Linked DNA regions of Ovis aries. Each later gene encodes a partner of the first gene's protein in a complex. Links are inferred from orthologs where the notes say so. Each region holds a gene or a part of one and is shown on either strand. Other genes may lie near its edges.

Region 1 (4,247 bases):
CTTACTATCTAATTTTGTGTTACAGACAGAGTTTATTTCAAATTAGAGGAAAATGAAAAATATCTGAAAATATAGCTTTGATAGAATAAGTTTGGAAACATTATCTATTTGTTAATTAAAACTTTTTTTCTGTGTGTTTTTATCAGATAGTTTTTAGGGCTTTAAATTAACCACTGAAACATATTCTTCATGATAATTCTAATTGTTAACATTTTTCCAGGTAGGTGACCAAAAACTTTTTAACAATTTAGAATATTTTTATTTATAAAAAGGTTAAATAAGCATATATGCACACGTGTATATTTGCATAGAAAGCTTTATAAAGACTATATGAGATACTACTAACAGTAGTTTCCTTGAGTTTGGGATTATCAGGTGCAGAGGGAGGGATAAATTTAACTTTTTCACTTTATATCTCAATTTATATGAGCATGTATTATTTTAATAATTTAAAGAACTAAATAAAAGGAATATTTTTCTAAAATATATATGCATAATCTTCATAGTTAATAGCTGTATGCTTTCTCCCCTTTGAGGTCTATTTGCCAAATCACAGTATACCCATACATTAATATTTGTTCTGTATACAAGTACAGTCAAAGGTACATAAATGACCTTGAGATTGTAGTGCAATATGTTAACTGAACTGCAAGGGCAGGTGTGACTGAGACATAGTGCAATGTACATGTACAATGATCCAAAAAGTTCAAAAAGGAAAGAAGGGTTAACAGGTATTTTTGTATGTGAAAATTTAGACATGGAGTAATTTTATGTTCCTATACATTTTTCTGTTTCTATATATTTAACATTTGATTATTAAAACATCAAATTACTTCTCCTAGCACATTATGAAACCCTACTAGTAAAGCTTTTTTCATTTTCAAAATGTAGCAGGTGTCCAGAGTAATTTATTTTTTCCACGTAAACTATTTAGATTAAAAAGTGAAGCCTGATTCTAGATATTACCCTCAATATAAGACAAAACGTGAAAATTCCTGAAAGATTGCTCTTTTAAAAATATTCTTAATATAGATATTCTGTGTTTAATAATATTGTAATTTATAAATTCCATGGTCACAACAGCTCATTTTACTCTGTAACCTTAGGCAACTTATTTAATCTCACTAAGCTTCAGTTTCCTCATCTTTAAAATGGGGATAATAAAGGACCTAGTTCATAAGGTTATTATGAGGATTAAATATGATAATACATATAATATGCTTAATGTCATTTGTGGTAAATAATAAGCTCTCAAAAAATATTAGCTATTATTTTGCTTACATTTCACTATTCTTTTAATCATTTTAGCATTTCCCAACAAAAACTCTAGGTTTTGAAATATACTCCTTTAAAACACTTAGTAGAGCATTTTCTTTCCAGTTGTTATATTACTAGTTTAATTTTAACTCCTAGAGCAAATAGTCTCATCTTTTCTGCCATGTAACACAAAATCAACTGGAATACATTTATTTCAATTCTTGCATTTAATATGTATTATCAATTAGCTAACATTTATCTACCTCATTATTGCTAAATATCACTAAGAATAGCAATATCAACAACAAATACATGTTTGAAATGGTTATGCCTTAACATTAAGTTCTGAATTGGTTGCATATGGTCAGAAAAAGGGTTTCAACAATTAAATTTATGAAGGACTGGCTTTCCACAGAATGAAAGTAAACTCATATTCTCACTTTCTGATGTATAGCTGTAGATTTAAAAATAGTTAATTTAAAAAGTGTAATATTTAAGGAAAATAATTGTGTTAATACAGTAATAAAACATGCACTACCTTAAGTATGAAATCTGAGGATAGAACTTGTGAGTTAGACTACAATTAGTTGAGCTAATTTCAGCAAAAAGTTATTTAAATGAAACATACATTTTCATACAGTTTCTTTTAAACTCCTGCTCTTTATATTCTGAAAGTATACTATGAAGTCAGCTGTACAGTACCTTGATCAGGTTGTGTCCCACGGTGTAGACAGCTGCTAAATTTCCCTTCTCTCCAGGAGCATGGATACCAGTCCCATACCCATGCCAAGCGACTAGATATGGGTTGTGAATTGTAATCCAATATTTGACACGGTCCCCAAATGTCTGGAAACAGTATGTGGCATAGTCATTGAAGAAATCTATTATGGTTTCATTTTTCCACCCCCCATATTTTTCCTGGAGAGCCAAAGGCAAATCCCAATGATATAAAGTAACTATAGGTTCAATGTTTCTAAGTACCAGAGCATTGAGAAGAGTATTGTAATACTGGAGACCTTTCACGTTGACAGCTGATACTATTCCACCTGGGAAAAGCCTTGGCCAGGAAATTGAAAATTGATAGAAAGAAACGCCTATAAAATCCAGGGCTGATAGGTCCTTTTCCAGAAAAATGTAACTGTCACTGGAACTATTCGTGGTGTTGACATTTTTAAGGTGTGATTGGATGAAGTGATCCCATATAGAAGGTCCTTTTCCGTCTGCCTTCCAATTTCCTTCCACTTGAAATGCTCCAGTCCCAACGCCCCAGAAAAAGTTTTTAGGAAAAGTGTCATAGAGAAACAGCTGACTTTCATTTACCGGACTGAAATTAGGATTTTTAGACCATATAGTTCTTCCGTCTCCAGAGAATCCAGTAACAGCTCGTAGGAGAATAAACGCTGACAGGATGACAGATCTTGGCAGTCCCCCGCTGGACATTGTTTTCCTATAGCGTATGTTTCTTTCATCGGTGCTGAAGAAAATCCATTCATTCCCTGGAGATCATGCTGCACAGCCTGGCTTCATTTGCCACTAACTGCTTGACTGTCTTATCAACGCTTCAGTATAAAAGCTTGTGATTGTAAAGCTCTGTCAATGATTAGCTTGAACTGTGAGACTTAGGATGGGTCAGGGAGAGCAACGTAATTTGAGGGAGGTGGCTCTATTGCACTCACCAGCATGTTGCCTTCTCTCTTATTATTGGAAAAATTATATGGAAATGCATCAATGACAAATAGTTCAAATGTATAACTTATATATAAATAAGGAAGGAAATGCCATAGTTTCTTTGTCGACTTTCATAGTGATGAAAATCTTTTCTGGATGTTTTGGACATTATTGAGTAAAGAGTATACCTTTTCTATTTTTGTAGGCTTTGAGTGGTAATTTTATGTTTCACATATCAGAAAAAGCAATTTTATGGACAAATAAACAGCATTCCTATATGCCAATAATAAAGAATTAGAAAACATAAGATATTATACATGCATGAAAATTATAACACATTTAAGAATAATCTTATTAACTACTGTTTATTTTAAGAACATTTAAAAAATGTATTTATAAATTAAAAAATGAAGGAAGAAATATACAGCACTTTCTGGGTGGAAACACTGAATAATTTCCAACTTAATTTATACATTTAATGCACTTTTAACCAAAGTCCTCTGATCCCAAGTTTTAGTTCAACAAAATTATTGTGGAAATTCACTTAAAGAATAAATACACAATAATTGCAAAAAAAAAAACCCACTGAAAAAGAAAATAGTGATGCTGTGTACTGCCTGTAGATATGAAAACATAAAGAAAAATTTAAGGAGCATTGTCTGGAATAAGAATAAATAGAAATAAGTATTGTACAGAACCTATAGCCTCCAAGTGACCTTGGTTATTTGGTCATTAATTAAAATTTTAAAAATTTGAAGCATCACATACTAGTGAGAGGCAGAACGGTTAATGGTTTGGCCTCTACAGTTAGACTGCCTGAGTTTAACGGTTGTGTGGCTGAGGACAAGTTTTTCAGCTTCCTGCACCTCAGTTTCTTTTCATGTACAATAAGGCATAATAATAGTATCAGCTACCTGAATTATTGTGAGATAATACATGTAAAGCACTTTGAATAGACACTGACACATAGTAAGTGCTCAATGAACATCATTCTTATTTCTATGTGAAAAGTGATGATTATTCAAAAATTGGTGCAAGGATTTAGCATAGAAGACACTAAGTTCTGGCTCCTGCCTACATGTTTACCTTCATTTCTCAACCATTAACCACACGATCTGAACCACACGCAACCGTCTTCTCTGCAGCTATAACAGCCTTTAATGAGCTCTGCACACACCCATTGCCCCTACCCCTGTGCCTTGGTCTGTGTGCTCTCTGCATAGATGTGCTCTCCCCACCTCAGTTAGCTCTGGTCTACCCGTTCTGCAAAACTTCAGTACGTCTTCTGGAAAGCCTTTCTGACTCCCCCATTGATTTTATTT
Region 2 (4,068 bases), on another chromosome or scaffold:
TCCCATTTAGACCCAAATGACTGTAGTCTTGAGCCTTTTTGTCTGCAGCTCTGGTAAGAGAAACCTCAGTCCCTCTGGCTCCTTTATTCAGTAGCTGCCCTCCAGGCAGCCTGCCAGGATCGTGGAGATAAAGGCAGCCCCCTCCCCCTAGGCCAGGAGGAAGCCTGCACCCCGTGGGTGGCCACAAAGTCGGAAGGCAGAACATTCAGAGTGAGCCGGTGGCGTCCCAAATGTAGAGGGTCAGTTTGTCTTCAAGACCCAAGAGCACAGCCAAAGGCGGGGAGCCAAGAGGGCTCGGCCATAAACTGCCCTGGGAGGCACCCAGTCTCATTTCTGCCCAGGCCTACAAAGGTCGCTTCACTGCAGGTGAGCTTAGATAAGGCCCTGATAAGGCCTGCATCCAATGAAGCAATATGCCCAGCTCCCGTGCGGGGGAATAAGGCCACCAGACCGAGGGGAGAAATGCAAATTGATAAACAAGGGAATTAAAATCAAATAGAGTGACTATTTTCACTCTTCTGGTTCTTGAGGAGAAACTGACATCTCATTTGCCAAAGAGAGAATGAAACGGACTTCAAGTTTCTGGGAGGATGTGGAATTGTTTATTTTTTTTAATCTTCAAGTTTTGCTAAACAGTGACCACAGGACCTAGAGGCAGAACAGGATTTTAGTTGAGGGACCCTCAGTCTGGATTAGAATGATGATGGGTTAGACCCAGCTGCCCCTGTGGGGGGTGTGTGTGTGTGTGTGTGTGTGTGTGTGTGTGTGTGTGTGTGTGTGTGTGTGTAGCTCTGTCGCTGAAGCCCCCACCACCCCTAAGTAAACCTCACATGGGTTGCAGCTGCCGGGACTCGGAGTGGCTTTGGGTTTCAGCTTTCTTTGCCTCCTTTCACGCGGGATGTCATAAAACCTGAGGCAGGTTTATCTATCTCTGGATAAACAGAATAAAGGGGCACCAGAGCCACAAAAAAAAACACTGAGACACTAAAGAGATCTGAGCTGCGGAAAGGAGGGCATCCCTGGAGGGCCGGCGCCCTTCCCTCCCCCTGCTGCCCCCTGGCCTCTGTCCCTCCATCGGAGCCCCGGCCCAGCAGGGCTGCATTGAGGCCCTTCGCCAGGCCGGGACCTCACACAGCCTCCGCTGCGCGCCCGGGGGGCTCAGGTTCCCTTTGAACTCTCAGCCTTTGTTCCGGCGACCAGAGAGCCAGCATCTGCACACTTCCTGCCCCCAGACGTCTCTGGCTACCTGGGCCTGCCCTCCCACCGCCACGCAAAGAGGCCTCTGCCGTACAGGTGAGCCCGACAGGATGAGTGCGGCCACGAAAATAGGACCCCAACGCGGCTGCAAAATAATCTATTTTTTAGCGGGTAAAAATTAATTTTAAAAAGCCTCTTCAATCCCAAGTGTAACTTTTCTTCGGACTTTAAAAAAAAAAAAATCCAAGTTGTGGATACACCCTTTTTCTTTTTTTCCTCCCCAGCCACCCCCTCCCCACCCACCACTTAAAAAAAAAAAAAAAACTACTGCAAGGAGAGGGGGGAAGGCGAGCGCCACGCGCGCACAGGGCGAAGCCGAAAACGCCCACGGTGGGTTCCCCGTTTAATATCAAAGCGCCGACTTCCTCCGTCCGACTGGACCTGCCTCTAGTTTAGGGGTAATGCAAAGGCGGGGCCTCACCCGTTCTCCATAAACTTACAAATTAGAAAGTGGGACCGAAGAGTAATCCGGCCCTCGCCGCCTTCCCCTCCTAGTTCCACACCGGCCCGGACAGAGCAAACAAGGAAACTGAACGTGGCCCTGCGCGCCCCCCTGGCCCGCAGGCTCGCGCTCCCGCGCGTCCAGACGGACCGAGACACCTACCAGCCCTTGCATCTTGCCGTCGGCGTCCATGCAGAGGAACAGCACGCTGCGCTCGCCCTTGATGGCCACGGTGCTCAGAGCGACCGCCCTGATCTCCATCAAACCTGGGCGGGAAAACAGCACAAAACTGCAGCCGGGACCCGCGCGGCCCACAACTCCTGAAAGTGGTTGGTGGGTGTACAGGCCCGTCCTCCCCAAGCCCCCAGCCCCTCTCCCTGTCTGGAGGCTCGGGATGGGAGTGCAACGCCCAGGTGCCAAGACCTGGAGTTCCCCGGAATGGGGGTGGGGGAGCGGTCCGCGGAAGCCGAAGTGGGGGAAGGGGAGGGGAGCGCATCGGTGCAGTAGGTCCACGCACCCAGTGCCCTCTCCCCCAGCTCCTCCCGCAGTCGGAGGTGGTGGGGGGGGGGTCGGGGAGGGAGTAGATCGCTAAGTGCCAAGAGCCGGGGTGCCGGGAGCGAGAAGGGGGCAAAGGTAAGAAGGGGCGCTGGGACGGGTGGGGGCCCGGCGGGCACTCACTGTGCGCGCTCTGGACCTGCGCGCAGTCCACGGCGCCGTCGGAGTGGATGCGCAGAAAGCAGCTGTAGAGGCCCTGAGGGCCCGCGGTATACAGGTGCCGCAGGCGAACCGACTCGCCCCAGCCGTAGTGCACGTGCGGCCCCGCATCCGAGAAGGCCAGGGGGCGCCCGGCTGCGGCCAGCCAGAGGCCGGCCAGCACCAGGGCGCGGGCCACGGCGCACCGGCTCGGAGCGCTCCGCATGGCACCTCCCTCGGGCTCGGAGCTCTGCGCGCAGATCTGGTGGTGAGGGTGCGGGAGGCTGGGCGGCGGCCCCGAGGCCCTGCGGGACGGAGCGTGCGGAGGTGGGGTGGCCGTGCCCTTGAGACAGGAGACCGCTGCACGCTCTGGGCACCTGGGCACCTCTCCAGCTCCGACGGCGCGGCGGCTGGCGGCTGGCGGCCTGCGACCTTATATAGCGCGTCTGCCCGCGATGCGAAGCCCTTATCGGGATTGCATCAGCCCTCCGCCCCTCGCACACACCCACTCACACCCCGCCCCCCGACCCAGCCTTTCCCTGGGCCCCGCCCGGGTGACCCCGCCCAGATCTGGAAGAGAAGGAGGCCCTCTTTCGCTGGAAACTTCGCAGCTCCTCCCGGAGGCGCTGGGGCGAGGCCAGGTCGCTCCCGTCTGGGCGAGTTTGATTGTGTAAAGAAATGAAGGAGACGGCGGAGCCCACCATCACCCCCGCGCCCAGGCCATTGGCTTCAACCCCCTTCCCCCGGGAATGCACTAGTCTCCGGGCGCTGGCCGGGGCTGCGCGGAGCCGGGGTCCCGACATCAAAGACTGGGGCGCGGGACACTGAGCTTTGCATCCTTCACTCCCGGTGGGGAACACCCCGCCTGGGCTTTGGGGCCCCCTCCCCTACAATCCACATCCACTCGCTCACGCCACGATCCCAGCCCTCAAAGCCCCGGGGGTAGAGGGGTCCACTGGAATTTATTTTCCCCTTGCAGCTCAGAGCCTCTCACGTTCTCCGGCTTTATGTTCTTCAGATTCCTGCCTGGCCCCCCGTTCCACGCCAGTACTTTGTCCCCCGGCTTGCCCAGGCGCGACCTGGGCTCTCGGAGGAACAATAGGGTCGCGCGGGCGAGCGCTAGATGGCGCTTCAGCCCAGGTATCGGCCGGGCCCGGCCCGCGGAGGTCCCTGGACCCGGAGCCTGGGAGGAGGGCGCCTGGAGTGGGGCAGGGTGGGCTTGCAAGCTGCAGAAGGGGAAACTGACTTTCCAGGGCGCGTAGCGCAGGGAAGCTCCTCTGTTTTTGCTGTGTCTTTCGTCGTGGGTGCTGTCCTTGGGTCCCTGAGAGTTTCTCCAGGGGCTGGGCGTGCAGTTCGCAGGGCGGGGGGCGGGGGGCGGGCAGGAACAGGGGAGCTCCTTACCTGATGGGGAGGGGCAGGGCAGCAGTGGTGGGCGCTGCTTGCGGAGAGGGGGGCGTGTAAGGGGGGAGAGGCACCAGTTGGGGAAACTGGAGCCACCCAGTGAAGAGGCTCCCCCCCCATCCCCGACCCCACAAACCGGATGGCTTTTCTGATGAGGCTCAGAAAAAGACCACATCCGGAGAATGCTCCTGGGGGAAAGAGAGGGGTCCTTGCTCAACACTGGTTCTTTCTCATTATTCCTCCAACCACCTGCCCCTCAACTCCAGGATGTGGGG

The links.
Region 2: the proteins of KLB (region 1) and FGF19 are in contact, whole or in part, in a crystal structure (PDB 6NFJ), measured with the Homo sapiens proteins. The link is inferred for Ovis aries from reciprocal best matches to the Homo sapiens genes KLB and FGF19. Residues at the interface, in NP_783864.1 of Homo sapiens: Phe379, Lys380, Val392, Leu394, Trp419, Phe420, Thr421, Asp422, Val425, Thr431, Tyr434, Met435, Asn438, Tyr643, Glu693, Arg696, His743, Asn824, Phe826, Met832, Gln848, Phe849, Leu850, Gln851, Ile853, Leu862, Phe931, Phe942; in NP_005108.1 of Homo sapiens: Leu192, Thr194, Asp195, Ser196, Met197, Pro199, Phe200, Leu202, Val203, Thr204, Ser211, Pro212, Ser213.

Annotation. Positions count from the first base shown.
Region 1 is NC_056059.1:59,258,464-59,262,710, reverse strand, and holds the start of KLB (beta-klotho), read right to left. Parts: upstream 2,801-4,247; 5' UTR 2,698-2,800; coding exon 1,960-2,697; intron 1-1,959.
Region 2 is NC_056074.1:43,333,373-43,337,440, forward strand, and holds the start of FGF19 (fibroblast growth factor 19), read right to left. Parts: upstream 2,801-4,068; 5' UTR 2,619-2,800; coding exon 2,378-2,618; intron 1,966-2,377; coding exon 1,862-1,965; intron 1-1,861. UniProt on the Homo sapiens protein: Involved in the suppression of bile acid biosynthesis through down-regulation of CYP7A1 expression, following positive regulation of the JNK and ERK1/2 cascades. Stimulates glucose uptake in adipocytes. Activity requires the presence of KLB and FGFR4.